4 linked regions of the Lonchura striata genome follow. The protein of the gene in region 1 interacts with the protein of each later gene in a biochemical or structural test. Links are inferred from orthologs where the notes say so. Each region holds a gene or a part of one and is shown on either strand. Other genes may lie near its edges.

Evidence for each region.
Region 2: the proteins of NHERF1 (region 1) and EZR form a complex in vitro, tested with the Homo sapiens proteins (2 studies listed by BioGRID and IntAct). The link is inferred for Lonchura striata from reciprocal best matches to the Homo sapiens genes NHERF1 and EZR.
Region 3: the proteins of NHERF1 (region 1) and ABCC4 form a complex in vitro, tested with the Homo sapiens proteins (3 studies listed by BioGRID and IntAct, with this or other methods). The link is inferred for Lonchura striata from reciprocal best matches to the Homo sapiens genes NHERF1 and ABCC4.
Region 4: the proteins of NHERF1 (region 1) and ABCC2 form a complex in vitro, tested with the Homo sapiens proteins (2 studies listed by BioGRID). The link is inferred for Lonchura striata from reciprocal best matches to the Homo sapiens genes NHERF1 and ABCC2.

The regions. Positions count from the first base shown.
Region 1 is NC_134621.1:5,648,442-5,655,696, reverse strand, and holds the start of NHERF1 (Na(+)/H(+) exchange regulatory cofactor NHE-RF1), read left to right. Parts: upstream 1-3,952; 5' UTR 3,953-3,975; coding exon 3,976-4,368; intron 4,369-7,255. Other genes in the region: RAB37 (ras-related protein Rab-37), read left to right, coding at 149-225, 336-441. UniProt on the Homo sapiens protein: Scaffold protein that connects plasma membrane proteins with members of the ezrin/moesin/radixin family and thereby helps to link them to the actin cytoskeleton and to regulate their surface expression. Necessary for recycling of internalized ADRB2.
Region 2 is NC_134605.1:53,569,299-53,577,432, forward strand, and holds the start of EZR (ezrin), read left to right. Parts: upstream 1-5,086; 5' UTR 5,087-5,308; coding exon 5,309-5,320; intron 5,321-8,134. UniProt on the Homo sapiens protein: Probably involved in connections of major cytoskeletal structures to the plasma membrane. In epithelial cells, required for the formation of microvilli and membrane ruffles on the apical pole. Along with PLEKHG6, required for normal macropinocytosis.
Region 3 is NC_134604.1:76,662,720-76,670,191, reverse strand, and holds the start of ABCC4 (ATP-binding cassette sub-family C member 4), read left to right. Parts: upstream 1-4,276; 5' UTR 4,277-4,367; coding exon 4,368-4,441; intron 4,442-7,472. UniProt on the Homo sapiens protein: ATP-dependent transporter of the ATP-binding cassette (ABC) family that actively extrudes physiological compounds and xenobiotics from cells.
Region 4 is NC_134609.1:18,584,782-18,592,408, reverse strand, and holds the start of ABCC2 (ATP-binding cassette sub-family C member 2), read left to right. Parts: upstream 1-4,271; 5' UTR 4,272-4,365; coding exon 4,366-4,407; intron 4,408-4,930; coding exon 4,931-5,104; intron 5,105-5,545; coding exon 5,546-5,668; intron 5,669-6,700; coding exon 6,701-6,835; intron 6,836-7,226; coding exon 7,227-7,349; intron 7,350-7,627. Other genes in the region: copper homeostasis protein cutC homolog, read left to right, coding at 374-479, 1,044-1,155. UniProt on the Homo sapiens protein: ATP-dependent transporter of the ATP-binding cassette (ABC) family that binds and hydrolyzes ATP to enable active transport of various substrates including many drugs, toxicants and endogenous compound across cell membranes.

The sequences.
Region 1 (7,255 bases):
GGCCAGCACTGCAGTCACTTGCCTGCAAATCCTGGGGCAAGGCAGGGAGGGGATGACCCTCAAGCCTCATCCAGGCTACAGGGATGATTCAGAGGGCCAGGAGGGCATCTTGGTGATAGCCACTGATGGGGTGGTGCTGCTCCTGCAGGAGTATGGAGTGCCTTTCATGGAGACGAGTGCCAAGACGGGCATGAACGTGGAGCTGGCCTTCCTGGCCATTGCCAAGTGAGTACCTGGGGCCAGGGCACTGAGCAAGGAAGGTGTCCCCTGCAGCCCCAGCACCTCCCACACACCAGCACAGTGTGGGAGAGGGTAACACAGCCCCACCACCCTAGGGAGCTGAAGCAGCGCGCGGGGCAGCCGCTGGATGAGCCTCACTTCCAGATCCACGAGTACATCGAGTCACAGAAGAAGAAATCCAGCTGCTGTGCCTTCTCCTGAGGGTGGCCCAGAGGAGCTGGCAGGCCTGGGGGCCCAGGTGGGAAGCAGAGTGGGGCCCAATCCTGCCCTCAAGCACCAGAGGGAACCAAGTTCTGACAAGCCAAGGTGGATGGCACAGTACAGTGGAGCTGAGTCCATGAGGAGAGCCCTTGTCCTGGTGCTAGGATTCAAATCCTGCTGCCCTGCAGAGCAACGACCTGTGTGCCACCGTGGGAATCACTATGGTGTGGTGACTGCCAGCCTGGCCAGCAAGCCATGGTGATCCATCACCTCCAGCACATGAGCAGGGTGCAGGACACAGCCACACACCTCACTGAGACCCTTGGAGCAGTTGGAGGGGCTGTGCCATGGATGAGCCTCCCTGCAGCCTCTAGCCCTGTCCTCCCTTGCAGCTATTCCTGCTCACAGTGCTGCTTCTGTCCAACTGGAAGGGCCTGGTCCAGCCCCATGTCCCTGGTGCTGCCAGGCTCTGGCTTCCCTCCAAGGAACATCAGCTCTGTCCCCCGGGCTGCCCCACACCCCAGTGCCCACAATCAGCTGTGGCTCCTCATTTCTGCAGTTGCTGCCAAAGGCTTTTATCCTCCTGCTGCCACAAATGCAATGATGTCCCCATTGTATCCTGGCTCTGCTCGAGGGAAGGGCTGGGATGGGGAAGGGTCCAGCCAAACCTGCTCCCTGCCCACACAGCTGGTGTGAGAAGTGAAATTCCCCTGGGAGCATCCGAGCAATGCTTGGGGCACTTCTGGTACAGACAGCAATTTGGAAAAACTTTGCTCCCCCCATGTTGTAGCCACAGAAATTACAGAAATTATTTTTTTAAACAAGAAAAGGCTTTTCCATTTCAGTGCCTCCAGACTGAACCATCTCCAGCCTCATGCAGGAGATGCCCATGGTGGCATAACTTGGGGTGTTGCTTCAGCCCTGCCACCTCCCAAGCCAGGCTGGGTTTCTCTCCCATCACTGTCCACGTAACACAGCTATGCCTTCCTGCTATTAGCAAATAGCAGCTGGAACTCACTTTCTGGAGACCAGATGCCCGAGAGCCTTCAGCCAGCAAACACTGCTCTGTTGGGCACTGGTGAGGCTCAGGGACATCCCTGGTGCTCAGCCCAGCTTTGCTGCTCCCTCAAGCACACTGTCCATTCCCCTGAGCACTACCCAGAGCAGTCAGATGGTGAATATTTAGTTATGTAGCTGAAGCACTGATCCAGAGAGCAGCTGTGCAGGGTATGGCACTGCACGTAGGAGTCAGGGACTGTCCAGCACATCTGTCCCCATCTGCATCTTCCCTGGCCCTGCACCTGACTGCTCACATCTCGCCTGCCCCGGTGCCTCCTTCACCTCTGCTCTGCCCCTGGGTCTCTCTTTGCAAGTTTACAGATTAAAGCTGGGCATTTTTTGAGGCTTTGCATCTGTCGGATTGTTTATTGCGTGAGAAATCCCTGCCCTGGGGCTGCAACGTGGGAGGCTGCTGCACACAGGCGCTGCAGAGCAGCCGGGCCGGGGGCCCTGGGAGCAGCCCTGGGGAGGGGGAAGCACCCAGGGCCCCTTCCTCCCTTCCTCCCTGCCGGGGAGGGCTTTCACTGCACATTTCAGACAGACCAAAGGTGAGAGGGGAACAGTAAACATGGCCTGTTAAATTAAAACCAACCTCCTCCCCTGCTGTTCTCATGGTGCGGAGTCCAGCATTCCCCAAATAACTCCGTCTTCCCACCAATGGCATTGCTGCTGCCGCTTGGCTGATGTCTGCAAAAAAAAATGCTGGATGGCTTCAACACAAACGGACATTGGCTCTTTTCTCTTTCCCCGCTCCTGCCTGAGCTCCCTTAACTTCACCCCAAGATGCAAAGGGCAGGAGGAGGCAGCCTGGGGCGCGACCGTCCTGCCTGTGCCCTGCCATCCCGCAGGCATTGTTGGACCCAAAAGCAGCTTCAGCCGTTTCCTTTGCTCTTGCCTTTCTTCCTTATCACGGTCCCGTGCTCAAACCAGCCCTGCTGGAGCTGGGTTTTGTTTCCTGACTGAGTGCAGGGTACCCAAAATGTGCTCTTTCCAAAACGCTCACTCGTGGGGCTGTGCTGCTCACAGCCCCCTTACCAAGGGGCGGCTGTGACACGGGCGATAGCCCCCCGTACTGGGGCTCTACCACAACACCAAGGGCTTGCCCTGCTTTTCCTCTCCGAAGGCATTTGTCGCCGGCTGCCGTGGGATTCCTCTCCACCGCTTTTCTCAGCGGCGGCCGCGGGCGAATGCTCAGCCGAGTGGAGGAAACAAATGAGCCCACCCTGCGCTCCCAGCTGCGTCCCACGGAGCTGGAGCACGGCCACCCCGAGCACACAGGGGGCTCTGCGGCCACTGAGGTCCCTGAGCAGGGTTTTGGGGCAGAGAACCTTGTGAGAGATGTGTCTCATGGCATGCAGCTGTCCCCTCCTTGCTCGCCTGTCTGCAGCTCAGTTAAATGTGATCCTGGCTGCCCTGAGGATCTCTGCCCAGGAACTTCAGCCAGGCCCTGCACTGGGAGCCACCTCTGTGCCACCCACCTGGGACAATCCCAGGAGGCAGCTCCGCCTGGCACCAGCAGCCCTGCGGCACGGCCGGAGCAGCCCAGGGTGGTTGCTGCCTTGCTCTGCCCTGGCTGAGCCCAAACCCCAGGATCTCACATGCTCATGGCTCCCTGCAGCTACTTCTGCTTCTCAGTCCATGAGCAGAGAACATGCAACCAGGGCAGAGCAAATCCCCGGGGTTCCCTCCATCTTCTCCCACCTCGGACCCCCAGCTCTAGGGTGCTGAGCAAGGTTCAGAGGCAGCTGGGGAACAGTGCTGGTGTCTCATTTCCACTGCAAAGCGAGTTACCTTCCCTCTTCAATGCCTACTTTCCCGCACAGTTTCAATTTAGGGATCTTATTTTACTTCTTTTTATTTTACTTCTTTTTATTTTACTTCGAACATCTCTCCACCCTCTACATCGGAGCAGCGCTGGGACAAACTGCAGCCTTCAAGGACTGGGCAAGGGTGTGGGATGGATGTTCCCCGAGAGGCCACCCGGGATGTGTCGCGGAGCGGGAACAGCTGGGAGCGTCCCGGTCTCCGGCCGTGCTGGGGGCTGTCTCCGAGACAGAGCCGATCCCCGGTGGGGGGAGTTCAGCGAGGATCGGGAGTTGGCGCCGTGGGCTCGGGTGGCACCGGGGAGTGGCCCGGATCACGGGGGAGCGATGGGAGCCCACGGAAGCGGTCCGGTCCGGTCCGGGGCACGCACCGCGACCCGGCGGCGCCGCGCCCCGAGCGCCCGCCGGGGCCAGAGCGCACCGGGACACCCGGGCCGCCCATATTTGCATAACCGCGCCTTTAGATTTGCATAGACACGCCCCTCGCTGTCCTAATTTGGCGGGCATCAGCCCACCCCGCTCTCCGATTGGCGGCCGCCGACCCCCGCGCCCCGCCCCCCTATATAAACCGTGAGGCGGGCGCGTTGCCGCGCAGTGCGCCGAGTGCGGGCGGCGGGACGGGCCCGCTGCTGCTCCCGCCGCTTCCCCCGCCATGAGCAGCGGCGCGGGCCCCGCCGCCCGCCTGTGCCGCCTGGAGCGCGGCCCGGATGGCTACGGCTTCCACCTGCACGGCGAGAAGGGCAAGCCGGGCCAGTTCATCCGGCTGGTGGAGGCGGGCTCGCCGGCCGAGCGGTCGGGGCTGCGCGCCGGGGACCGGCTGCTGGAGGTGGACGGCGAGAACGTGGAGCGGGAGAGCCATCAGCAGGTGGTGGAGCGGATCCGCGCCGCCGCCGGCGCCGTCAGCCTTCTCGTCGTAGACTCGACGGCCGAGGATCAGCTGGCGAGGCGGAGCGGGGCGGGTGCCGAGCCGCCGGTGGGCGGCGGGCAGGCAGCGCCGATGCCGGCGGAGCCCGCGGCGCGGGAGCCTGGCGCTGGCGGCCAGCGGGTGAATGAGCGGCCGGGGACCGGGGCTCGGAAGTTTTCGGGGCAGAGGGTGTTGTCCGAGGAGGCGGGGTTGCGACCGGCCGCGGTCGAGCGGGAGCCGCGGCCGCCGCGTCTGCCCTGGGCGTTGTGTGTGGTTTCGGTCTCGATTCTTTCTTTTTTTCCCTCAAAACCCCGGGTCCTGCCGCGCCCGATTGCTTTGCCTTTTTTATTTTAAATAATTTTTTTTCCTGTTAATGGTCCCGTCTCGCAGCCGTGTCAGTGACGGGCTCATCGGGCTGGTTGGAGCCATGGCTGAGCCTGATGAGTCCTGTGCTGCGGGGCCGGCAAAACGGGGGAGAAAAGCAACAGGGGGAGATTTGACGTGCAGCACAACCTCAGAACTGGGCTGAGGGCGGCTGGCAATAACCCACCCCAAAATACAACAAAAAACAGGTGGCACAGGGTGTTCTTGAGGCTGAGACAGCAGGTATTGGTGGCAGTCGCTCTTGGATTTGAGCGTGTTCCATCTCTGCTGTGGAGTGGAGTGGAGACAGCAAAGCTCTTCCCGGGCTGGGGGCTTGGTCCTGGCAGTCAGTGCCCACGGATGCTTCCTCACTCAGGAATGTCGGCCTTAAGCACGCGTGGGAGTGAGCAGTTGCACAAACAAAGTGATGTAGAAAGGTGAGGAATTGAGAAATAGCTGACCTTTCATGCCCCAAGCGGTTCCTAAGAAACGCTTGGGGCTCTCTGGGAGATAATACTGCTTTTTATTTACCCAGCAAAGATGTGTTTGTTGTTACAACAGACATGTGGATGGCTCCCTGGGCAGAGTCCCCAGTGTGAGGAACATTCTGGGGAAATCTTATGACCTGTTCCCAGAGAGGCTGGTGCAGTGGAGCCTTCCCAGTGTTGATGCAGAGTCCCAGGCAGACCTTGGTGCCTCACTGAGCTGCTGTCACATAGGGTTTTCCTGAGGATTAGGTAGTTTTGAGCTGTATCTCCTGTTGGACTTTGACCTTGTGCTTGTTCCTCTGATTGGGCTGATCCACTGCAGGCACAGCTGTCATTCCTGCCTGGCTAAAACATCACTCCAGCACCTCCTTGATGGGTTTATTTGGGTAGGAACGGCTATGTTCTATCCCTGTTTGCCTGTCTTGCTTGCTGTACCCTGTATCATCCCACATCCCTCACGTGTGGCCCTGTGCTGGACTCCAGTGCTGCCCCGTGCAGGGAGAACGTGCCTGCTCTCCCATATGTCACAGTGCTGCTGCTCCCTCGGGGCTAGCGAGACTGTGCTCTGCTTTCTGCTCCCAGACCTCTCCATGGGCTGGGAAAAATAAAAGGGATGTTCTTAATCCAGCTCAGGTGAGTCCCCTGCCAGGCTTGGGGGCTAAGGATGTGTGGTCCCCAAAGAGGATGGAGCCCTCTCATGCTGCCTGCTGCCTGCTCACTGTGTTGGCTGGAGTGATAGAAGGAGCTTAGGAAGCTGGAGATGCCCCACAGGATTTTGGGAGACAGCTCCAGCTGGAGATACCTCATGGGCTTTCGGGGACAGTCTTGGCTGAAGATTCCCCACAGCCTTGGGGAGCAGGCTCGGGGCACAGCTCATGCACAGTTACTGCTGGCGGTTTCTCTGCTAGTGGTTTCTCTCCTCCCTAGATCAGGAAGCAGGTGACATGGGGTGACATTGCCACAAGGCCCCAGATGGTTTCTCAACAGGTAGCAGCAGGAAATCTTGCGGCTGGGGGCAGGGCCCAGTGGAAAAGTGGGTTTAAAAACGTCGCCCAGGCCAGGCACCCACCAAGCAGGGGGGGAAGATGCTGGGTGGGATGCTGAGCCAAGCCAGAGCAGACAGAAAGGGATTTCTTTAGGAAGGAACACACTGGTGGCCTGTTCCTGGCCACTAGCAGGCAACTGGTGCTGGCTGCTCCATCCCCCCACAGCCCCATCCCATCACTGTGGGCTGGTAGGATTCCCTGGGATCACAGGGGAAGCAGGAGATTTGCACATGTCAGAGTTCTGTTTGCTTTATTGGGCTGGACTTGCCTTTATTTGTTTAACAAGCCTGGAGACGCTCAGGAGCTGGGAGAGCTGCCTGTGGTGAGCAATGTTTACTGTCTCCCAGCTTCCAACAGAATCAATTGTCTCTCCAGACTGTACTGGGTCCTGCATGACTGGGACTGCCAGGGGGCTCGGACCCCCACAGATCCCTGAGGAAGTTGTGGGAGACTTGTCATGGGCTCCTTTTTCATTCCTATCAAACCTTGAGTGTGAAAATGCCCTGATGATGTGGTTTTGAGCCTCCTTGGGAAGCTGATCCATGGAGCCCTGTCTGCGGTGCTGAGCCAGTGTGGTGACACTTTCACACCCCTCAGGTCAGCCTCATTTCCTGGGGCCCTGTGCCGTGGGGGTGTCCCCCCACTGAGAGCTGTGACAGTTTGTCTGCCTCTTTCTTTATTTCCGGAGGCTTCAGCTGCTCGGGAGTGTCTTGAGAAAGTTTCATACAAACCACGCAGTGTTCCCAGGGCAGCACAGGGCCCTGGTACCAGGGCAAGGCATTTGCTACCAGCCCCGGGCTTCCCTCTTGCAAATTTAATGTTAAATTAGAACCCTCCCTGCCAGCAAAGCTCTTCCCTCCTTGTAAAACCTGGGAGAGCCTCCCAGGGCTGGGTTTCAGAGTGTAACAGGGAGCAGTTCCCCCTGTTGCACTGGGGTAGCTGGAGTTTAATTAGGAAATGAATTAAATTTCCTCTCAAGGCAGCTGCATGAAAAGCAGCTCCAGTCAAACAGGACGTGACAGGGATGCTGCAAGGAGGCTGCTTTGCATCCCCTTTGTATGAAGCCCGAATGTGTGTGCCAGATTTTGGGACCCGTGTGAATTTGCTGGCTCAGGCATCCTCAGAGCTCTT
Region 2 (8,134 bases), on another chromosome or scaffold:
TCAGTGCTTTTTATATTTGTTTATTTGTTGGTAGATCAATAATTCATTGTGGATTTCAGTTACAAAGATGATTACCATAGACTTTCCTTCCCTGGTCACTTTCATGTTTAAACCTGCCTTTACTTTGAGTAATATTTTATCTGTATTTTACCTACCACTAAGTCTTGCATTCCCCATCCATTGTAAATAATTTCTCAGTCTCATTGTACACAAAATGTAAATGCCAAATTATATTTTGTTTTAGTTGAAAAGAAGATTTTATTGCACACTTTGCATCACACCCTGTGAAAGTTTCCTGTGGAAGAAGAATGTGTTACTAGAGAAGTTACTAAGACAACTCTTATGGGAACTGAAAGCAAACTGTGTTTAGGCTTCTTACAACTTATTGAGAAGAAACCTAATCTCCCTTTAAGCTTTTCTCTCCTTTTATGATGGGTAAGAACAAACCAGATAAAAGCCTGAAGTCTTGTCTGATTATTTTTCCTTCTTACAACATTTTAAAATAATCTTTCATAAACTTAATTATATATACTTTTCTTCATAATTTACCATGTCCTCGTAGGGCTCCATGATGGTCAATCAAAGAGTCAAATAATCCCAAGGACTACCTGAGGGTGCTGCTGGAAGACAAACTGATGATTAGGATCATCGATTAGGAAGGCAAAGATAAGGATCTCCCAGCATGTAACCACTGGATCATTGAATGAGGTTTATTTCCAGGCCTGAATGCACCTAACCTCTTGTTGGTTCAGGAAAAAAAAAAACTCAATCTACGCTTACTGGAAAAAAAAAATAGCAAAGCAACAAAAAACTGAACCTGGCAAGAGTAGCTTTTCATGTAGGAACAATAAGCAACTGAACTTGGCAGCAGCTTCTCATAGGAACAAGCAAAAATGAGGCACAAGCCTTGTGCTCTTTTACACCATTTATCCTCTTCATAAGAAACCCAGAGAATGTCTCAAGACATTGGCTTTGCCAATAGATGCTGGTCCACTGTGACCTCATTCTGTCAAGTTTTCAGTAAGCTCAGTGTGGGTAGTGGGGAAGTAGCTCTCAGTGCAGAACTACATCTCACCAGGTCCTTGGTCACTCTTCCTGAAGTCTGACATTTCAGGAATTATAATGCCAAAATTTCAGAATGTGCAATGTGTAATAAACTGCTTATTCAGCTATGCACAATGAAAAAGAAACTATTGTCAGTAATCCCATGTGGTTCTTTTTCCTCTTACAGCTCTTCCAGTTCACAAAGAAAATCAAAGACTCTTGACTGTCCTACATGAGAGCAAATCTCCTTAAATCTATGTATGTCTCAGAACGTGGCATCCTTTCCATTAACTACTCTAATGAATGTCCTTTCTTCTAGCTTCTATACTAAATGCATAGTCTGTGAGTTGTCAAGAGGACAGTTAGCTGCTATAGGTTTTTGTTAGTAAAAAATCTGCAAACAAACCAACAGAGAATCTGCAAAACTCTTCCAGCTATGCCTTGCCTAACCTGGATGAAATTTTCTATTCAGAGAAACAGGGAGTTTAGATCTCTCTGTTCTTGAGACTATTGATTCTGCATGAGCAAAAAAGAATAATGGATTTAGGGCACAAGATTTCATGTTTCCCAGTTCCAGGATGATCTGACTTAGGAAGTTTTATGTTGACTAAAAATTGGCTGGCACAAAGCCTGTTAAGCAAAAGCCACTTCATAGTGATAGGACTTGCTTGGGCAAACCCAGACAAGTACTTGGAATTCCTAAATTATACACATCAAGTTTAAATCTTATTACAGCTTAAAGGATAACAGGAAAATGAAATTAGTCTTCTCTCTAAAAGAAGGAAGGCAGGCTTAATGAGGATGACACAGTTTGGTTAGGGGTCAGTAAGTCACAGGAACTGTTACAGGGAAGAAGACAGAAACTGGGTTCTGCTACTGACCTGCTGTGCAATTCGGATTCTTTCGTCACCTTCTCTGCCTTATTAATTCCTGTAAATAGTTGGTAATGCTATCCTCTTAATAAAGCAGGTTAAGAGTAAGTGCAGGATCAGAGCAGATCTTAATCCTGTGACTTAAAGGCTTCATTTTGATTTGGATCTTATGCTTAATTGTGAAGTCTGACTGAAAATGATATGGTTAGGGTGGCCATAAAAGCTCTCTCTTGCTTAGCTAATGCCTAAATCCAGAAGTAACCAAGTTCTATAGAGTTGTAATGTGGAATTTTCCCCAGATTGCATATTTGTATATTTTTTTCTATACTTGAATTTCTGCCCCAGGATGTCTTGACATGGGTTGATTGTTTTGTGCCCATTTCACGCCTTCTTCGATACTCCCTCACACACACTCCAAAGGGGATCCAGTCTCTAAGCATTTGTATACAATGCTTATCGGTATTATACACAATGTCCATACTCTCAAAATTCAATATACTAACTTTCAGTGTACTCTCAGGAAATCCAGAGAACTGAGGGCTTTTACCATCACTCTGGAGCAGAGGGGAACTGATTTGTGTCTGGAAAGGATGGGAAAGATTCTGTATAAAAGGGAAGAAGGGGCTTGCATTATATACCTTCCCATCCTTCTAGGGGACAGGTGGGGAGAGAAATAAAAAGGAAGAAGCTGAGTGACCCAGCTGTAGAAGAGAGTTTTGTACTGTCACAAAGACACCTACCTAGCCAAGTCTTCAATAAGGTACTGAGCTCTGCAGGCAAGAGGGTTTGAAAACACACCTAGCATGAGGAAAAAGCCCAGGAAGGAAGCGAAGGGTATCTACGACATACTCCAAACTGGCAATTATTCTGGTTCCTTCCACTGAAGACAATTCTTCCTGTGTAAGCTCAGTATGTTCACAGTGGCTGGTTTTGGGTGGAGCAGTACTGGGCAAGCTGGTAGTTAAGGATGCCATTAAGGTATCTACCTTTCCCCATGTATTGCAGGTGACTGTGGGAAAATGGCACAAGTTTATGTGCTGTGGCAAACAGGAACCTAGAGATTGTATGTTGCCACACATAATTAATAGTCACCTAAATTCCTTTTGCCCCTAGGTTTGTGTGTTTAGGAAGCAATGGTAAGGGTTCGGAAAAAAAAAAACAAAACAACAAAAACCCAACAAAACCAGGGGGTTAAGCTTGGATATGTAACTAACATATGGGAACAAATACTTACCTGACTAAATATGATGTATTAGATCTCTCTCTGACATGGAGTTTCTTCAATGTGAAGCCCCAGAGTGATGGTCTCTGTGCCCATGTTGAGCTATAGACAGGAAAGGATTTTGGGAATATGGGCTTCCCATTAGATCCATGCAATCCTTTGTTTCAAGGGGATGCAGACACACACGTTTGTTTTGACTTCTCTGTTTTCAGTCACAGCCAAAATCTGGATTTTAAGACTATGGCATGAAAATATCTCATCTCTATCCTTTTCTGTCCCCTCCCCAAAATATCTAAGAATGTCACTTAGGGTTCTGAGTGAGAGCTGCAGAAGCTGGGTTCTTACAGCACTTCTTACTTGGAGCGGTTGTTTCTTGTGGTTGGCAGCATACCCAAAACACTCTGATAATTTGGTCTGGTTCATTTCCAGTGTCATCCTGCTGAATAAGGCATGAATCCCACCATAAACTTGTTGCTTAACAGAAGAGCATAGAAAGTGTCTTCACAAATCACATTTTTGTTAAATTAACCCAATCCGAGTGTCGGCATATTTTGTTAACTTAACCTGTAAATCTCAGTGGAATTGTTTCAACTGAAAATGGAGGTCATATCTGTTTCCCAAGGATGTCTGATCCCATGGCCCTTTTCCTGGAAGCTGTTCAGCTTAGACTATTTCTTCTCACCTGCTGTTGCAAGCTGCCACCCCCATGGCTCTGTTTTGATGGTAAAGCTGCCTCTAATCTCTGAGGATCGTGCAACAGAAAAGGAATATTACCATTAATTCTCTCAGCCTCCAACTTGGCTCCCCTCCCCTTTCTTTCACAGACCTGACACAGTCATGATTCTTTTATTTTAATGTGGCACAACCAAGTGCTGCTTGGTGGACTCTGTGGGGGAAGACACCATTTGGAACTCTGCCAAAGCAAGACTTGTATTGTTTGGGCTGTCCTTTTTGTCACCATCCCTTGATATTTCCCAGGCTCTCTCCTGCCCTCTATATTTTCCATGTAGTGGATGTTATTTTTCTGGTTCTATGCCTCCCTGTTCCCATCCTATGTCCTATGCTAAACAGACAGACAGTGGTTGAAGTGGGGTGTTGCAGACAGCAGCTTGGGTACAAGCTGCACAATTTCCTCAATCTCACAGCTCAGCTATGTGCCATTGCTGGCACAGTGCTACAGGCCGTTCGTTGCCCATGACTATGTAAATCAATGTGCTCTTGTGACCAGCCAAGCAAGGAGATGCAGTGGAAGGCCAGCAGCTCCTGGCAGACACTATCACAGAAGTGCATTACGTTCATGGGTGAGGAGGGAGAAGGAACAAGGGGCAGAGAGACAAACTTTGCTTTCTGTATATGCTTATAAATTGTTACGCTACTTGCATGAACTTTTTTAGGCTATACGAAAAGTCAGAACCAGCTGAAGTATACTCTATAGTTCCTGAGCTTAGATGGATTTTCAAAGTTTTCTCTTTTGCTGACATTGCTGAAAATATGCTTTACTACACAAAGCAAGCCTGTGTTTTGCTAAGTAATCAAATTTTCTGACCTCGCACTCCCAAGAAACACAGCAACTATTACAGGCCACCCCTAAGGCATCACGCCTGTGCCGGACGCTTTCCCCGTGCCATCCAGAGGCTTGGGAAGCGCCGACTCCGGCGAGGCCCGAGCAGGTGCGGGCGCGGCGGGCCGGGCCGGGCCGGGGGTCTCCGCGGGGCCGGGGCCGTGCGCGGAGGGCTCCGCACGAGGCCCGCGCGGCCCGGCCGTGCCCGGGGGCTCGGGCGGCGCCGCCCGCGCACCTGCCGCCCGCCCGTCCCTCACGGCGGGGGCTCGGGGCTGCCGGGGCCGCGGTGCCCCCTGCGCGCCGGGGACGTCGAAGCGAAGCCGGCAGGGGTGCCCCGCAGTGGGGCGAGGCCGGTGCCGCGCTCGGCAGGCGCCGGGGGGAGCGGCGGCATGGCCGGCGGCGGTGAGTCACGGCCGGGCCCCACCTGCCGTACTTAACCCGCCGCCGGGCGGCCGGCGCCGCACTCGCGGGCTGCGCTGCCGCCGTGGCCGGGAGCGGCTCCTTCCTCCTACACCTCCTCCGCACGGGGCGCTCGGCAGAGGCGAGGCGGGCGCCGCATGAACGTTTGTGTCGGGAGTAGCAGAAGCAGCAGCTCTCAAAACCCTCAAAATGCCGAAGCCGGTGAGTGGGCGCGGAGGGAGGGAGGCGCTCCGCGGGGTCGCAGCGGGGCCCGCCCGCCCGGCGCTGGGGACTCGCCCGAGCCCGGGTGCCCGGCGGGGCGGTCGCCTCCGGGTGTCGCGGCGCGGGCTTTTGCCGGGCTGGAAGGGCTGAGTCCCGGTCCCTGCTCCCCGCCACTGGACGGGGCGTTTCGACTCGAGCGCCCGGGAAGTTGTGCGCGGCGCCGGGACTCGGGAGCCACATCGGCGGCTGCTCGAGCGGGAGGATCGCTGGGGCGGCTGCCTGCGGACGCAGGGCCGCGGGTGGGCTGGAGGCTCTCCTCGCCGTCCCGCCGCCGGGAAAGGGAGCACGGAGCCCCGGATCTCTGTGCTCCAGAGATCGGGCGGTGGGTTTGCTCCGTCCTGTGCAGCGCTTCCGTGCTAGACATGCACAGAGCTCCCGAGTAACTCTCGAAAGAAGAGCTTTCATCACGCTCCCGCTTAACGAGAAATGCTACAACTGCGCCGGCTGCCATTTAGTATGCTTGTGGCCTATGCATTTATCTACAGGAAGCATGTATGCATCTGTAAAGCATGTATGCATCTATAAAGAATAGGAAGAAGCTTGTTCTCTCCTTGTTTTGCCACCTAAAAAATAAATTCTAGGGACTTTTATTAAAACTTCTCCACGCTGGTCTTTACCAGGCATTATCGAAGACCTGTTTCCTTTTTTGGTTGGACTTTTTTTTTTTTTTTTTTTCCAATTGAACGGTCTTTTTTATCCCTCCTTCTTTCTCTTGACACCACCACCTCCTCACCGCCTCCCCTTCCGACCTTCTAGTGGGTTTTTTTGTTTGTTTTATTTTAAAGTCTGCTGCTACTGTGCCGGTTAGAGACGGTAATTCCCTTGGAGCGCCAACTGCCTAATGCGGCGCTTTGAGCAGTCGTTGGAGCAGACGCACTTTTGAACTTTGAAGAGCATAATCAGAACAGATTGTTGTTACTATGTATTTTCAATAGAGGCAACATTTCTTAAAATGCAATGCAGTGAAGGACTTATGTATTAGCTCACTTAAATGAAATGTGAAATAAGAGCAAACAAGCTTATCTTTGTGGTAATAAGTAATTAATGTTTTATCACTATAACGTTAAAGTTAGTTGAACTTTTGTTTTTTTTAAAGTACTTAGGTTAACTTACATAAGCAGTTTCTACAGACCTACCAAAAAAAAAAAAACAACCCAACAAAAGACAAAAACAGCCAAAACCAAACTGTGCTCAGTCCTAAGAACTGATAAATGTTCAGTCTCTCTGGCTGTATTTCATCAGTAGGAGGTGATATATTGCTGCATATAATAACATCTAACTGAGAGGGCCCTTCTGTAACTGGGAAGCAAATATATAATTTATAAAGTATGGCTATAAAAGGTCGTGTGTGAATAATCTCTTTCTGCCTTGTTAGCTGTTTGCTAATTACAGAGTGCTTTCTTGAAATATCCTGGTTAGAATAATCTGAAATCCTGGTTTAGGACTAAGTCTCACTGGAAGCCATGGATAGGTGTACAAAAACTCTTTAATCTCTTAAAAAAATACAGCTGTGTTTATCCTTTTGCTTGGCAAGGCTAGGTTTGTATTCCCTCAGAGATGGTGATTTTTCTTTGTTTCTTGGCTCAGTAGACAGTGAATAACAAAGGTGGATGGTATAAACCACCATCCACTGGGGAAGGACAGTAGTACTGTAAAGACTTCTGAGATGTGACCTTCTGGCTAGCATTTATGGACAAGACTCTGTGTCAATACTTTCTAAATATAAGCCTTTTTCCTACTTAAACTTCTGTTTAGTGGGGCTAACTGCCACCTTATTGTAAATGAAAAAGAGGTATTTTGCAGAGGCTATTTTAGTAAAACACTCTGTTCAGTCTGTCTGCTTTAGACTGAGACTGGATTTGGATCCTTCCCAACTCAGCTCATTTAATCTTAATACAGCTAAATAGGATTCATGTCAGTTTGCATGGAGGGAGGATGTAAGGCTGTCACTCCAGAGGCAGAACTATGCTTGGGATGAATGTGACAACAGCCTTTGGCATGTGTGAGGAATGATAGCACAACCTCTTGGGATGCACAGGGAAGCAGTGTGTTTCTGCTTGGTATTTAGCATGGATGCTAAATATTTATTACCTGTGCTTGTTTGCATGTGTCTTGTCTACATGCCATAAGTAAATACGGTGTTGCTTGGCAGACTTCATGCTGCTGTGTGTGAAGTCTCACACACACTGGTCGTCAGTTACTTACAAATAAAGATTATGATAACAGAAAGCAAAATTTTGGCAACATCTTTCCCTCTGGCCCCTCCACCCACAACCCAATAAGCTAAACCTTTATATGAAACGATTGATTTAACAAAAATTATAAATGCACACACAAAGCTTATGGATCGTGTTTATAATTTATTTTTTCATAGTAAACAACTAGCAAATCCATTAACAGTAGGACATTAGTGATTTTGTATTTTAATTGAGTACCAAAGTGAAGTGCTAGAAAGCTGACTTCCCGAGTCTGTGATAACATTTGGTCACAATTAGTTGTATCTGATGCATGCTTAATATGCTCAAAATAAATTTTAGTAAAAGTCCAGAAAATAATAATGCAATCAGTATATTTGTTAATATAGACACGTTTTAATATGTAATTTAACACAGCCATTCTGCCATGTGTAGCAGTTACAAAATAATGAGATCTCTCCAAGGTAAGCTATAAATATATAACCTATACCCAGTTCATGAGGGTTTATGGCTGGGAGTTCATCAACAGTTCAGATGCATGATTTCTATCTAATCTGTA
Region 3 (7,472 bases), on another chromosome or scaffold:
GTAGAGGATTGACACGGGGATGTAGAAGAAGATATATGGAAAATGATCAGGTTGAAATAGCAGAATTACAGGCTGGTTCTGCAGCACTGCCTTTTCTGCTCTGCAGCTGAAGGAGAACAGGCCAATATGTCTGTACTGCAGGAGGACAAGCACCGTTCCCCTGTGGATACATCAGCCAGAGGATGAGTCAGGCCACTGGGTAGTGACAAGCTGGGCTGCCAGCCAGCGGGACAGCCTGCTCTCCTGCCAGCAGTGTGGTGGGACACAACGCTGCCTGTTTGGGTTGTCAGGCTGGCATACGGTCTGCCTTTCTGCCTGGCTTCAGTCAAAAGCATGAAACTCAAACAATGCACGGCTGCAAAGCCTTCTCATTCTGCTATCATAGCTTGCCTTTGGAACACCAATCCCTCCAACATCTTTCAAACAGCTTTGAATTTGATTCTGTCCCTAATGAAATACCATGTAGTGCTCAGCAAATCTTTTATAAAGACTTCAAACACAGTCATCCACAACTTCTTGGTTTTCTAGGTGCTCATCTCAAGGCCCTGGGGTATGATAAGGGTGTCAGCCCTGATATCAATGGCTGCTTGCTAGAAAGGGAAAGGTTATAGTGCTATGTCCTATAAAAGACTAAGCTTTAGGTTGCCTTTGCGTAACAGGGATCAGTACCTACATTTCACCTCAAGATCCATGTTATATCTGCTATTTGGATATCAATGGAAACTGCCCAGTAATCTTCTAAGGGTTTTGAGAAAACTGTATGTTTGTGAACTCCCCAATGCTAAGTGCCCTAAAAATGCAGATGGAGAAACATATTAGTCTGACTGTATTCAAAGTGAAAAGACAGTAAAGAAGGCATAAGGCCACATGATAAAATGCTTACTTAGTGACTACTGGCTTTCTTGTGCACTGAATAAATAGTGAATCTTGTGTGTTTGCACATTTGTGACATCCCCTATGATCTGAATTTATTTCCCCAGAACAATGTATGTGCATAACAAGTTTAACAGTTGGCACTGCCTTAATTTGGCTATTTCCCTATTTGAATAGTTGGTTTTGCTAGATCATTATCCATATGACCGTGATAATTTAGATTTACTAAGTCACACTTTGATTAGTTTGTTACCTATCTTGTTCTCTCCACATGAAAATAGCGTTGCCATAGCAAAATGTTCAATGCATAAATTGGCAGCTGCTCTTTCTGACTCCTAAAATAGAAAGAAGATTATTAAATTAATTACTGTGCAATTTTCCCTTCCCTTTCCTCTCCATGGGCAGTCTCAGACTTTCATGAACACTTCTTTGCCCAATTGTTTCACACTTTTTCATTACTGCATTAATTTCTAATTGCACCCTCAGCAGATAGACTTACAGGTTAATTTGGCTTTCAGAATTTTTTTAAATGTTATTTTCCCTTTTCCTTTTAGTTTTTTCTTCTCCAAAACTTTTTTGGAAGTGTTTTGTTTCGGACTTACGAGTAAACTAAATATTTCAAAATCAGTCATAATGATGGCAAATTAAAAATTTATTTCTTGAGGATTGCTTTTTGTCCTTTTTCTATCATCACAATAATACTGAAAAAAGGTTATTTTAATATTTTGCTTTAATACTTTTATCTGCATTTTGAAAATAAATTATTAATTGTAATTATATTTATTAATTGTAATAAATTATTAATTGTTCATTAATAGGCTATTATTTCCTTCCCCAGACTAAGAAATGTTTGGGTAATCTTTCATTGCAAATCTAATTCACAAAGCTGAAATCAGCCTTAAGATTTACATTTTCCTTTCTCCCTCTTCCTGACCCAATCTTTATTGGCATTTTGGGACTTACACTATGCTGTCATACCTTTTAATTCACTCATGAGTATTTAATGAGTGAAAGGTCACAAGGATGATGAAGGGAGTCTGAGACAAATTTGTCTCAGAGAAATCTAAACCCGTCAAATTTTACTGATGGGCAGAGCTTTTCTTTACAAATTTTGGGAGATCCTTTAAATTTATTATCCAGGCTCTGGAATATAGGGATTATTTCATTAAAGACTGCCCTTTCAAACCACTGCATCCTTTCCACAAGCTTTTTTCCCTTGTTTTTATCTGGGAGGATCTAGAGAAAGCCATTGACAGGTGTACTACTTACTGTTCATGAAATTCTGTGACACATCGTCCATGCATGAGCAGTGCAGGCTGTTTCCAGCTCCATCAGTGCTCATTGACAGCAAGCTCAAGCTGGATTTGTCTGACATACGGTTATGACATTCATTCAAGCATTAACTGATGCTATTTATTCAACACTATAGTGTAGCCCCAACCCTCTTTTATCTCAACAACGTGTCAACTCTGATGTGTATAATTAAAGTCAGATGCTACCCCTGTCAATAGTTTCACTGTCAATACATATAAGCAGGAAGAGAGAGGGTTGGTTGCTCCTGGGGACATGAAATGAATATACAGAACATAAGAATGGAGTTTGTTTTGCAGCTGGCTCGGATTGAGGAGTCTAGGAGATCAGGGTTGTGATTAGTTACTCAAAATCTAGTTGGAAGTCAGCAACTAGTGGTGTACATCAGGTGTTAACATTAGGTCCAAAACTATCTGACATCTTCATAAATGATCTGTAGGAAACAGAGGGCTGACTCAGCAAGTTTACTGATGATCACAGAATCACAGATCCATTAAGCTGGAGAAGACCTTTGAGATCCTTGAGTCCAACCTATGGTGGCCTAACACCACCTTGTCAACTAGATGTGGCATCAAGTGCCACATCCAGTCTTTCCATAAAGACCACCAGGGGCGGTGGCTGATCAGTGACTGATAACACTCCACAGAGCTGTGCTGCCATCCAGAGGGACCTCAACATGCTGGAAAAATAGGCTCATAGGAACTTCATGAAGTTCGAAAAACAGAAGAGCAAAGTCCTGCACCCAGGGAGTAACAACCCCAGGCACCACTATGGGCTGGGGGCTAGCTTGGGGTCCTGGTGGACACCAAGTTGAACATAAGCCAGCAATGTGTCCTTGTGGCAAAGAAGACTAATGATATGCTAGGATGCATTAGAATGAGTATTTACCAGCAGACCTGAGGTGATCTTTCCTCTCTACTCAGAAGTGAGGACCACCTGGAGTCCTACATTAAGTTATGGGCTCCCCAGTCCAAGAGGGACATGGACATACTGGAGAGACTGCAGTGAAAGGTCACAAGGATGATGAAGGGAGTCTAGTAATCTTTCCTATGAGGAAAGGCTGAGAGGGACTGGAGACCAGGCTAAGAGGGGTCTCATTAGTGTGTATATTGATGAACAAAGGACAGAACCAAGTTCTGCTCTGTAGTACCCAGTGACAGGACCAGAAGCAATGGGTACAAGCTGAAACACAGCAGGTTCCATCTGAACATCAAGAAACACTTCTTCGTTGTGGGGGTGACTAAGCACTAGCATAGGTTGCCCAGAGGGGCTGTGTATACTATGGAGAGTATCTCCATCCTTGGAGATACTCAGAAGCTGCCTGGGCATGGCACTTAAACAGCAGGGATTGGACCAGCTGACCTCCAGAGGTCTCTTGCAACCTCAGCCATCCTGGATTTTATAGACTGCAGAGAAATAAAAGCATGGCAGGGAATCATTCTGCCACAGAGATTAACAATTCTTAGGTTACTTCAGGTACCTGTCCTGCATTTTCTGCTTTCCTTGCAGTTTTCGCTCTTCTTCATCAGGGTCCCTTTGGCAGGCCATAGGTGAGGTGACTGGAGAGGAGGCTACCTGCTGAACCTTTAGAACTGTCAATTTCAGTGATACGCCACGTCCTGAAATTAATTCGCTCCTTTATTATGTATCGCCAACCTCTCCTAAACATTGTTCTTATGGTTTGGTTATCGATTTCTAATAGAAGAATATGCAATATCAGGGAAGGAGCGCTGACAGCAAGCGTTTGGTCCCGCTAAGTCTGACTTGCCCTTGACTCGTGAGGGATTTTTCTGTCCAAAAATCCAGCGCCACCTCGCCTGGCGCTGCGTGCAGCGAGGAGATGCTTTCCATCAGCAAGGGGCACACACAGGTGCGAAAGCGGGGGGAGCAGAGCCTGCCGGCCAGGGGCTCGGTCCGCACTGAGCCAGCCGCAGCGGAGCGGCTCCGGCGCTGCCCGGCACCTCCTCGGGCGTCGCGGGGAAGCCGGGCCGGCAGGAGGCGTCTTGTGGCGGCCAGCCGGAGGAGGAGGAAGAGGAGGAGGAGGAGGGCCGAGGCGGGGGTGCTGGTTCTCCCGGAAACAGCGCCGGCCGGCGGCGGAGCAGCGGCTGCTGGCGGTGGGAAGTCGCCCGTGGTCCTGCGCCCTCGCCGCACGCCGGGCGGGTCGGGGCGGCGTGGCGGGCGGCATGGAGCCGGTGCCCCGAGAGGAGAAGCCTAACCCGCTGCAGGATGCCAACCTCTGCTCCCGGCTCTTTTTCTGGTGAGCGCCCGGGCGAGGGCAGGGGGGAGGGCAGCGCTGGAGGCGCGGCGCCGGGCACAGCGCCGCTGGCTTCACCTCGCCCGGCCGCTCGGGAGTGCCCAGGCTCGGCTGAGGGTGCCCGGCTCGCACTTGAGCGCGGCTCCCGGAGCGTCCGGGCGCCGGGAAGGGAAGCGGCGGCCGGCGCTGCCCCGCTGCTTGATGATTGTGCAGGCGCGGCTCGGGCGCGACCTGCCGCCCGCCCCCGCGGGCCCGGCTGCCAGCGCTGCCCGCCCGGGTAGCCCCGGGTCGCAGGTGGGCTGAGGTCTCCTGAGGTGACGCCGGCAGCCCGCGATAATCCCCGGCTGCGGTCTGCGGACGGCGCAGCCGGGGGCCTGCCTGTCGGCGCGGCGGCGCTCCGCCGGGCGGGCGGCGCCGAGCGCGGCCCCGTCGGCCCCTCGGAGCACATGTTTGTTCCCTCGGTAGCTGCGGGGAGGACGGGAGCGCCTTTTGCTTCCTGGCCCGGGCAGCCCTGCCGGGGACTGGGTGCAGGGCTGCTCCCGGGCATTCTTGTGATTCCCCGTTTGAATAACGGGTCGCGGGCGGGGATTGCTCATCCCGGCGTGAGGCTTTGCCCTCCGGCAGTGAGGTGGTTCTGACCCGTGTGGCTGCGTGGGAACTCCCCGGGGTAAGGGGTGGCGGGGCAGCATCCTGGCTGCGCTCGCCCACGCCTCTGCTGCCCCCGCTCCGGAGGGGCTTGGGTCTCACGGAGCGAGGGCTGGCGGTGTTGCCACAAACTGTACGGGGCCACAGGGCTCCCAGCCCAGAGTTAGTGCTTGGTCTTCTTCTGGGGACCTCGGCGTGGGTATCTATGTGTACTCAAAGAGGTGAGGAATTGCAGCTCGGCGTTTTAGTTGCTTTGAACTGTAGTAGGAAAACATTTGCAAAGTAAAACGGGAGAGCACCAAACTTGTTTGTCCTAGCAGATCCCATTTGGAAGAGCACTTCCCGAGAAAGTTCTTATCCTGCTTCACCGGCTGCAGCCTGAACCAGGGTGCACATGTTGTGTGGTGGAGGAGGGGGAAGGAAGGGAGGGCATGGCAGGTGAAGCTCTTTTTTTGGAAGCCTCTGAAACACAAATTAAAAACTCTTTGATTCTATAAGCAACTCTGAGCAGGTGCAGAAGTCCCCTTTGGAAGGTAGTGGGGTTTTAAAAACCCTGACAAATTTTAACTAAACTTGTTTATCAGTCAAAGATATATCTTCAGAGGTACTATTTGCAAAAAACAAAGAAAATAAGTAAGTAATAATAAAAAAGGCAGCTTGTATGCTGGTGCAGAACTCCCTGTGTTCAGGATTTTGACTTTTCCCTTTAACACCAGGGATGCCTGTGTTGGAAACAGCTTTGTTGTAAAATCCAAGCAGAATGGGATGAACCTAAGTTGGCCATGTAGCATTCCACAACTGCTTCTGGTCTGTTCCCTTTCCCTTGCTGGAATCTTGTGGTGTTACTGGTAGTTCTGCCAAAACCAATCCAGCTAGATGTGATGCAGTGCTCATAGCCAGCTTTCTGACTGCTTGTATCATTCTTTTTGTGGCCTTCTGTATCACTCTGCATTGTTTTTAGGTTCTTACTTTGCTAAGGGAAAATAGGTGGAAGGCTGTGCTTGGGGAATGACAGCTCTGCTCAGAGTCCAGAGATCAACTAGGACTTGAGACTTCACAGTCAGATGCTGGTGTACAACCATAAAGCTTCTGCTTTGGAAAAGCATTTAGTGGAGCATGTAAAGCTTTAGAATTTGCCCAGTGTCCTGCTTATCAGGCTTTTATAGCAGTGTAATTCAAAGCAGTGAAAATAGCCTTCTAAAGTCTTGTCTCTTACCTGTGGTGCTTGTGATCACAACTAACATGGGTATATTAGTCAACAAGCATTAGTGTTTTCTGGGTGTACATTTCAGCTGAAATGATACCTTCATTCTTCTCCACTGTTTAGCCTGGTCAAAATTGAGCCTTGTGGTAAAACTGAATAAGCAGGGGCTGTCAATTTTCTGCAAAAAGTTTTGCATAAAATTCAGGAAGTGTTAAAACACCCTCTCATTTAGCTATAAAGCTAACTTTAAGGGTAACTCTTAGAATTACTCTCCCTTTCTATGAGTGTAGCATCTCCCAGCTGTGTGAGTACTGCTTCATTTTAGCTCATGTCTCACACAGGACATTCTGAGATGTTTTCATCTGGACAACCAGGAAAACAATGCCTGAGGAAGGCCATCCTGTGAGTCCTAGCAGCCACCACCCTGTGGTTGTGTGCCTGCTCTGCTCTTCACATTCCAGGTGTTGTCTGCTTGTTGTCAATGAGGGTAAAAATATGGCATTGCAAGCAGCTTGGCAAAGGTCCTTCTTATTTTTATTTTCTTTGTATTTTTCTCCAGAAGCGCAGTTTTGCCATTGTGAGGAACCACCCTCCCATTTGTTGCCAGCGGTACAGAATAAAAGCTTACATTATTGCCTGGTGCAAACAGGGCAAACTCATGGGAGAAAAAAAGTCATGTTTTCATTGAGTTATAAATCTCAGGTAATGAGTGTGTAGGCTGACGAGACATTCTTCTTCCGTTGTTTGAAGCTTGGCTTCTTGATTTTGGGTTGTGACTTTAGCAAGTATGAGCTTGATGAACATTAAACACTCCAGCAGTAGATTCATGGGAAAGAGGAGCATCTGGATTGTGTGTTAATATTGTTACTTTTATAATGCATCCCTTGTGTAATGTTACAAGAATGAAAACTATTTATGAAAGAAGTGTGAAGATCAGGGCAGTTGCAAAATATTGTTTCTTGTGTCTTTCACTGAATTAACAGAGGTTTATCAAAGCCCAAATTGGCCTTCTGAATGTTTCAGATATTATTGTAACTCCTGACTTTCAAGAGTCACAATTTCCATGCCCACCAAACCTTTTAAAGCTCTGGCTGGTATTTCAGTTATAGTTAGGCCTGCTTGTATTCCTGATTTATTTCATCTATGTTGTTAGGTTGTTGGTTTTTTTATTGCTGGCTCAGTTTG
Region 4 (7,627 bases), on another chromosome or scaffold:
CATCTGTGTCAGGTCCTGCAATCCTTAGCCTTTCATTGCTAGCCTCCTTGCCCTGGAATCCACTTTCTGATCTGGCTTTCTGAGCCAGAAGGAGCAGCTCCTGTCCTGGTGTGATTAAAGGCCATGCAGCCCGTTGGGGAGGGCAGAGCCCTGTGGCTATTGCTCCCTGCAGGATTTGGGGACAGCTCTGTATCTATGGGAGAACATGAGCCAAGGCTTCTCCCGTCTCTTTTGACGTGCCCGTTGTCCCAAGGGCTGTTTTTTCCCTTTGGTGTACTTGGCTCCTGTCCCTTGGTGTTGAGGTCCCGGGGTGATGTCAGGTCTGGCATGGTGACATCTGCTCGGTGTGTGACATCGGGCTTGTTCCCACCAGGAGGTGGCATCACGGAGCGCAACCTGCAGAGGATTCTGGAAGGCTCCACTGCTTCCGAGTTTCACTGCTCTGCTCGCTCAGCTCGGGACTCAGGGATGAAGTTCAGGTAACTGATTATTTATGCTTATTTTTTAGCAGAACTCTGTGAGGGAAAGGCTAATGAATGTGAACATTAGTTTGTAGAACTGGCATAGATTTCAAACAGCTTCCTGAGTACTAGTTGTGCTTTTATGTTTGGGATCATGGTGCCTGCTGCTGTATTCTGCAGTGTATGAATCCAGCAGTACTCCTCACGAGGACATGTGTTCCATGCAGAACCTGATCCTTGGGGCATTTCTCTTGCTACTGCTGCCCTAGGAGTTTTGAGAGCACTTGGGAAGGCAGGTTGTGGTGTAGTTGCCTTAGAATTTTAACATAAGCAAGTAGGATTTGGCAAGCCAGTGGGATATGCTTCTGAAAATTGAGTGAGGAATGGGCTATATTTGTCCATAGGTCTGCACTTCTTAGGCTTAGGATTATTGTTCTTTCTATTCCTGTCCTAGCTTTGGTTTGGGTGGCACCATCTTTGGCCAATGCTGAAGCTAGGGGAAATATGGGGGTGTTTTTCTTGGTGGATCTTTCCCATCTGTATCGGCAGCAGATCACCACTAATCACTGGTTTTCCTGACAGAAATCCGAACGTTGCCATGGGAGCGTCCTTCTCTGCGCCCGAGTACTCCATAAAGGTGGCGGATGTGGCCAAAGTGAGGACCCTGAACGCGATTGCCAAGAACATTCTGTAGTGGTGGGCACCGTGTGGGACAAGAGCGCAGAGACTGCAGGGTCTGCCCTGGCACACGGACAGATGGGTACTGCTTCCGTCCTCGAGCTGCAGAGGACGTGCACTGGGTGATGGAGCCTGACACCTTTTCCCTTGGCTTCCCCTGAAGTCCCTGGCCTGGAAACTTACGTTGGCCATTTTAAATAAAAGGACTCATTTCCAGATGTTGCAGCAGCAGCTGTTGAGCAGCATCTGGGAGGAAGGGAGGTGAGCAAGCAGGGGGACTGAATTGTATAGCACTGCATGTGATTGTCAAATAAACACTGCAGCTGCCCCCCTCTTGCTGTGCTTTTGCAGAGTTTATGTTTTCAGGTAAGACCATGACCCCTGTTGCATAGCCTGAATTAGGACCCTGCTCTGCCAGAGAATACAATCACATCCAAGATGCCAGGGTGGGAAACACCATAGCCACAGCTGGGAAACAAGGCCTGCTGTGGTCAGCCAGTAGCATAGGTGGGGATTAGAACTGCAGCAGCTGTAAGTAGTGAGAAGCACCTGACTGATTAGATGAGGAAGCTGTGAACCATCCTGGGCTCTGTGTCCTCAGTGCTCGAGGTGGAGATGGTATATGAGATTTCTTGGGAGGACAGTCTGCTTTTTCTAAAGGAGTTTCCAGGTCCTTTTCCCACCATAAAGCATAAACTGCTTGTTTTCCAGACTGTTGGGTCATTGCTGCCTAGTCAGCCTCAGATACAGTTAGTCTGTAAAATACACAGTGAAAGATTTAAATGGTATCAGAGGGAGCATTAGAAGAGTAGAGACCTAGAAGTAAAGCACCTTCATCCTTGCTGCCTGCTCTTCTGTAAAAGATCACAAAGCTGAAGAGAATCCCTCTGACAGACAAGATGTTGGATCTCAGGAGGCAAATGCAGGGTACAGATTTCACTTCCCATCTTCGCAGTAGCTTACAGCTTGTGAGGATGTATGGAAAAAATGTGATACTTGACAAGGTGGAAGCACCTTTGTCACATTAAATAGAGTTATGTTATTGAAAACTTATCATCAAGACGATGTATTTTTAGTTTAAAGGGTACATCCACTTTTTCACATGGATCCATCAGAGGTGTTGGTGTCTCCCAAAACACCTTGGGAACTTAAGTTCTTAACAGAGGAGCTGGGAAGGAAGTGACTGCATAGTGCTGGTGTCAGAGCCTGCTTCAGCACTGACGGATGTGCAGGCTGTAGGAAGAATCCAAACTTGGAAAGAATTATTAAATTCATTATTATGGTCAATATAGAGAGTTCATAAAAGTTCATGGTCATGATTATGGTACTGGTAGCTCAATTATCATGGGGCTACCAGTATCATAATCATGATAAGGTGAGAATATTCTGCTGACCCCGCTGCCTCAGGTTTTCGAACATGGGGTAAGACATGACAAGGCAGAGAAACTCTTCAAGAAGATATGAGCAGTGAGGGCTGGAGGAATTTGGTTGATTGCCTGGCAGAGACCTCTGGGTCAGACTCTGTGTGAGACAGGCTTGAATCAGTGCCTAGTTTTGAAAAGCTGCAACATGCTGTACAACAGATGGATAAAGACAGGGGAGCACAGGGAAACTGGCATTGCTGGCCAAAGAGGTGCTACTTAGATTACTTTGACCTGCTGTGGTCCCAGTGAATGTTTTCTGGGTATATTAGTATATTATTCTGGGAGGAAGAGTTATGGAAGGAGCTGAAGGACAGTAAAGCTTTGTGGTTTTTGGGAGCAGCATGCTCCAGCTGTGAGGGTAGACAAGGTGGGTTATGATTGCTTTGAACATCGAAGAGTGGAATCCCGTGCTGAGGGCAACGCTTCAAGTTTGAGTGAGAGACCAAAGCCAGGGGGTGAGGATGAGCTGTGACCTGTACTAAAAACTGAGACAAGCAATGGGATGGGGCATTATGTAGGAAGGTGTCATAAACAAGTGGCCCCCTTAGGAGCAGTGCTCCAAGTGGTTTTGAGCAAGGCCAGAGGACACCTATGCCAGTGTCAGAAAGAAGAATCGCATCAGCAGTCCAGATAGAGAAGGGCTGAGTGAGTGCTCCATTCACTTCTTACTCATTGCATCTGTTTACAGCTCTCATGAGCAGGGTATTGGTTCTGGCCCAGAGGACGTAGCACTAGGGATAGTTTTATTTACAAAACCATATGGACTTAATCAGACAAATTGCTAATAATTAACCACTGAGTTGGACATTGAGCCTTTCTTTGGTTTTGATGATTCCTGAGGAATTACTCATTGTGTCACCCTTGACTTCTGAGTTATCTTCTAACTCCGTTACAAGAGACAACACAATTGTTGCAGTCACCCTACTGTTCCTCAAGAGCACACCTGTTAAAGCAAATTCAGTTCCAGCCTTAGTAGCACTGTCACCACATGTCCCTGTCACACCTAGGCCTTTCTAAGCAACAAGGGTTCAGTGGCAATCAGTCTCCTTGGGAATCATCCTCTTTCTGTCTCACATGTTGGGGTTACCTTAGAATAAAGATCCAAAGTCTCTTTTATGATTTTATGGTCAGCCAACTGCTGTAACACACATACAACATGGAAATGTGGAAAAGAAAGAAGCAAAAGAATGAATTTGGAAAATCTTCGGGATCTGCAGGCTGGAAATCAGCAAAAGGAATCTGGATCCTGAGGACTCAGACCAGTGCAGCATGTGGTCAGTTCAGGTGCCAGACACTGCAGATTCCCAAGCCTGGGGCACTGCTGGTGTCACAGTCCCCCTTGCCAGGCAGCACCAGCCACTGTGGGACCAGCCTTTGCTGGACTTTTTGTTGGAATTCAGCAGGCTTCTCACCGGAGAGGTCTGTTGCATCCAAGTAATGTCTTTAGCAGGTCCAGACGAGTTTGTGTCTGTCGGTGTGCACTGATCAAGGCTATGGTTTCTGAGCAATGGCTGTGGTGTCCTGCAGTGACTGTGACTTCCCTGTATCTCTCCTTTGGTCTCTTTCTTGGGTCTTCCTCTCCTCCCTTCTGAGCCTGTGCAGCTTCCCAAGCCCTTTTGATCACTGCTTTGGTTTGTAGGGTTGTGCAATAGCACACAGTTAATAAATAACTGTGGGTCATCAGAGCTTTTTGTCCCAAGACCGCTTGAGGGTGTGGGGGGACTTTTGTCCCAAGCGTCTGCCCAGGTGTCTCAGTTGGGCAGAGCGAGAGGAAGGTGCTGCCGTTTCTTCTCCCCTGAGCGATGTCAGCAGCCCTGGAGAAGTTCTGCGGCTCCGTCTTCTGGGTGAGTGACTGCATCATCCCCACTGCCTGTTCTCAGTGTGGGACCCCGTGTGGGGACAGCAGCGGATTCCAGGGCTCACAGCCTGTCCTGCCAGTGAGACTCAAGTGCCAGTGGTCGGCAGAAGTTCTGGGGTTTATCCAGGAGTGCTGTGCACTGCCTGCACAGTGCTCACCAGTGAGCCAGTGACACCTCTCTGACTGAGCTCTGTCCTGTTTTAGCCTTCCTGGGAATGCAGGACAGCCTGTATGGACTTTTGGAGAATTATTTGGCTTCAGCTGCTTCTGCTGGCTTGGCTCCACCAAGGGCTGGTCATTTCACATTCAGGCAGAGAGATGGGGATGGGAGTATCGCTTGGACCTTGGCTGAGTGCTGAAATGCCCAGCCAGGAGGGTGGGTGTTGAAGGGTGGATGCAATGTGGTGGAGCTGGGTGGGCAGAACCTATAGGAGTGTTTGCTTCTGTCCTGTGTGCCAAGTCAGTCAAGCCATCACAAGTGACTTGGTGTTCTGTCCTTGCTGCCCCAGAATGATTCCTACCTCGCTCGTCCGGATGCCGACCTGCCTGTGTGCTTCCAGCAGACTGTGCTGGTCTGGATCCCCCTTGGCTTCTTCTGGATTTTGGCCCCATGGCAGCTCCTGCCCATGTGCAAATCCAGAGCCAAGAAATCCTCTGTGACCAAACTCTACATCATCAAACAGGTAGAGTGGAGCTGAAGGGGCACAGATGACAGGCTGGAGCAGCCTGAGGTGTTGGTAGTATGAGTGGAAAGACTCTGTGCAACAGGCAGGTGTGGGAAGGAGAGATGAGAAATGCGGGAGGGAAGGAGCAATGGAATAGGGAACTATCCGGGACAGAAATGTAAAGGGGAGTCGAGCAGGAGGCATATCTGGGACAGAGAGCATAACAGGGAGGGATGCACTGGGAGGGAGGGCAGAGTGTGTATTGGGGCCTCTCATCTTCTGGCCTGCTGTCTCCCAAACTGAAAATAATGGCAGTGCTCCTGTGGAGCTGTGGCACATTCACAGGGTTGAAAGCTGTCCCAGGCCACGTCTGGCTTGAAGAGGGTGTATTTTATGCTGAACTCTGTTGTCTCTCTTGGTTCCCAGTGTCCCCAATGGGCTGGCCCTCTCTCCCCACAGGTGCTGGCTGCTCTGCTGGTGCTGACGGCAGTGGCGGAGCTGGCCCTGGCATTCGTAGACGCCGAGCAGGGTGCTGTGCCAGCTGTGCAGTACACAAACCCCAGCCTGTACATCGCCACCTGGGTAAGGCTCAGCCAGGAGCGTGCTGTGTGTCACCAGGGACAGGGTGAGACTGCAGCACCGAGCACAACGAGGCTTTCCTAGCACAGAGGTCAGAGGGGCAAGGCTAGCCTGGAAATTGGATAGGCCTAGTCCCAAACTCGTGCGGGTGGTGCACGAGGGTGATATGTTGAGGGCAGATACCTGGCTGTACAGTGCTCACTGCTGTTTTCCTTAAAACTGGGATGATTCTATGCCTGCAAGTGTAGCTGAGCTCTCTGATAGAACCTTACTTGGAAAAGTATGCTTTTCACAGGACTGATTTTGCAATGTGAGCACCAGACCATGGCTTGCTGCTCTGATGTCTCACAGCTTCCTTTACATTGCTGCTCAGTTTTGGGCAGAGAGCCAGGAAGTACCATGGGGTGCCTAGGCAGAGGAGAAAGCTGGCTAAAGAGGATCTAGTGGCTATTAGCTTGGTGGAATATGTGCATGGGTGTTACAGACATCTTGTGTGAGACATGGAGTATTCTAACAGTCTTTTAAAATTCTAACAAATGCTCAGGAGCATTTGTTAAATTTGTTATAAGCAAAACAAGACCTTCATTTGCTTTCCTTATTATTTTGCGATGTCATTTAATTTCACATGCAGAGTCCATGTGAAATGATAAGGCAAGCGGAGTCCCCAGAGAGGCTGCACTGCTGGAATGTGATCTGGGTTCAGTTTCAGGTCTGCAGGCAAGGTGCTGGAGACAGGGTGTGACCCCTTACGGCTTGACATGTCTGAGAATTTGGAGTGAAAACAGCTAGAAAGAGTAGTAGTGCCCTGCTGCAATGTCAGAGTACATTCAAGCTTGATCTTATGTCCTCCTGAAATAAACCTTTGTCCTATATAATTAATTCTGAAGCTCATGAAGGGTTGGTGGTGTGTTCAGGGTATTTAAGGCAGTGAATCCCAGCAGATCATGTGTGCTGGCATCCCAGGACACATGCTCCAAAGGGCACTTTTAGAGCCAGACCTAGGCCTGCCTCTCTGACCGATTTTCCTTCCCCCAGATGATGGTGCTGCTGGTGCAGGATGCACGGCGCTTCTGCTTGCGCAGAGACTCGGGGGTGCTCTTCTGCTTCTGGATACTGACCCTTCTCTGTGGGATTCTGCCTTTCCAGTCGCTCGTCCGGAAAGCCCTGCAGGTTGGGTTTGACAGGAAGCTCTGCACTCCCCCAGGGTCTTCCTCTGTTCTCAAAGAAAGCTTCTTCATACTCTTCTCTTGACCAGAGAGAAGAGTATCACTGGGTGTATCTGTGGTATCCCTGGGGTTCTAGCTGCCCTGGGGACCTTAGGGAACCAGAAAAGACCTGAGAAGGAACTGCTGTTAGGATTCATCCTGTTTCTTGGGGACTAAACACTTATGGGAGGAGGTCAGGGAGAAGCAGGGAGAGGTGGCAAAGGGAAGCTGATCCATGACTCAGAGTGAGTTTTACACTGCTCTATTGGGCTCAGCTAGGGGATGGATCTTGTCTCTGAGTACCAGGGGCCTTGAGACAATCCCCAGCAATAACCCTGGGCTTTCCATTTCTGCAGGAACCAATCTCTGACCTGCCACGGTTTATCCTTTTCTTCATCTCCTACGGGCTCCAGCTACTGCTCTTCCTTGTCTCAGGCTTCTCAGATATTGCTCCAGAAACAAAGGAAATCGGGAAGAAGGTGTGAGGACTACGTGGGACTGGGTTTGGGGCACCACATCCTGAGCATTGTGTGGGGCAGGGCAGGCTCTGTGCAGGCTCCAGGCTCCTTAGGAAGATCTGAAGATTCAGCACAGGGCTCAGCAAGAGCTGGAGCCTGCAGCATGGGGCATCTGCATGTGTGTCCAGGGGGGGCTGCTGCTGGCTCTGAGCTGAGGTTTCTGGTGCTGGAGCTGGCATGGTTTGAAACTTATGAGGCTCCTTAATGGCTGGGAGTGCTAAAACAGCTTTTGTCAAAAC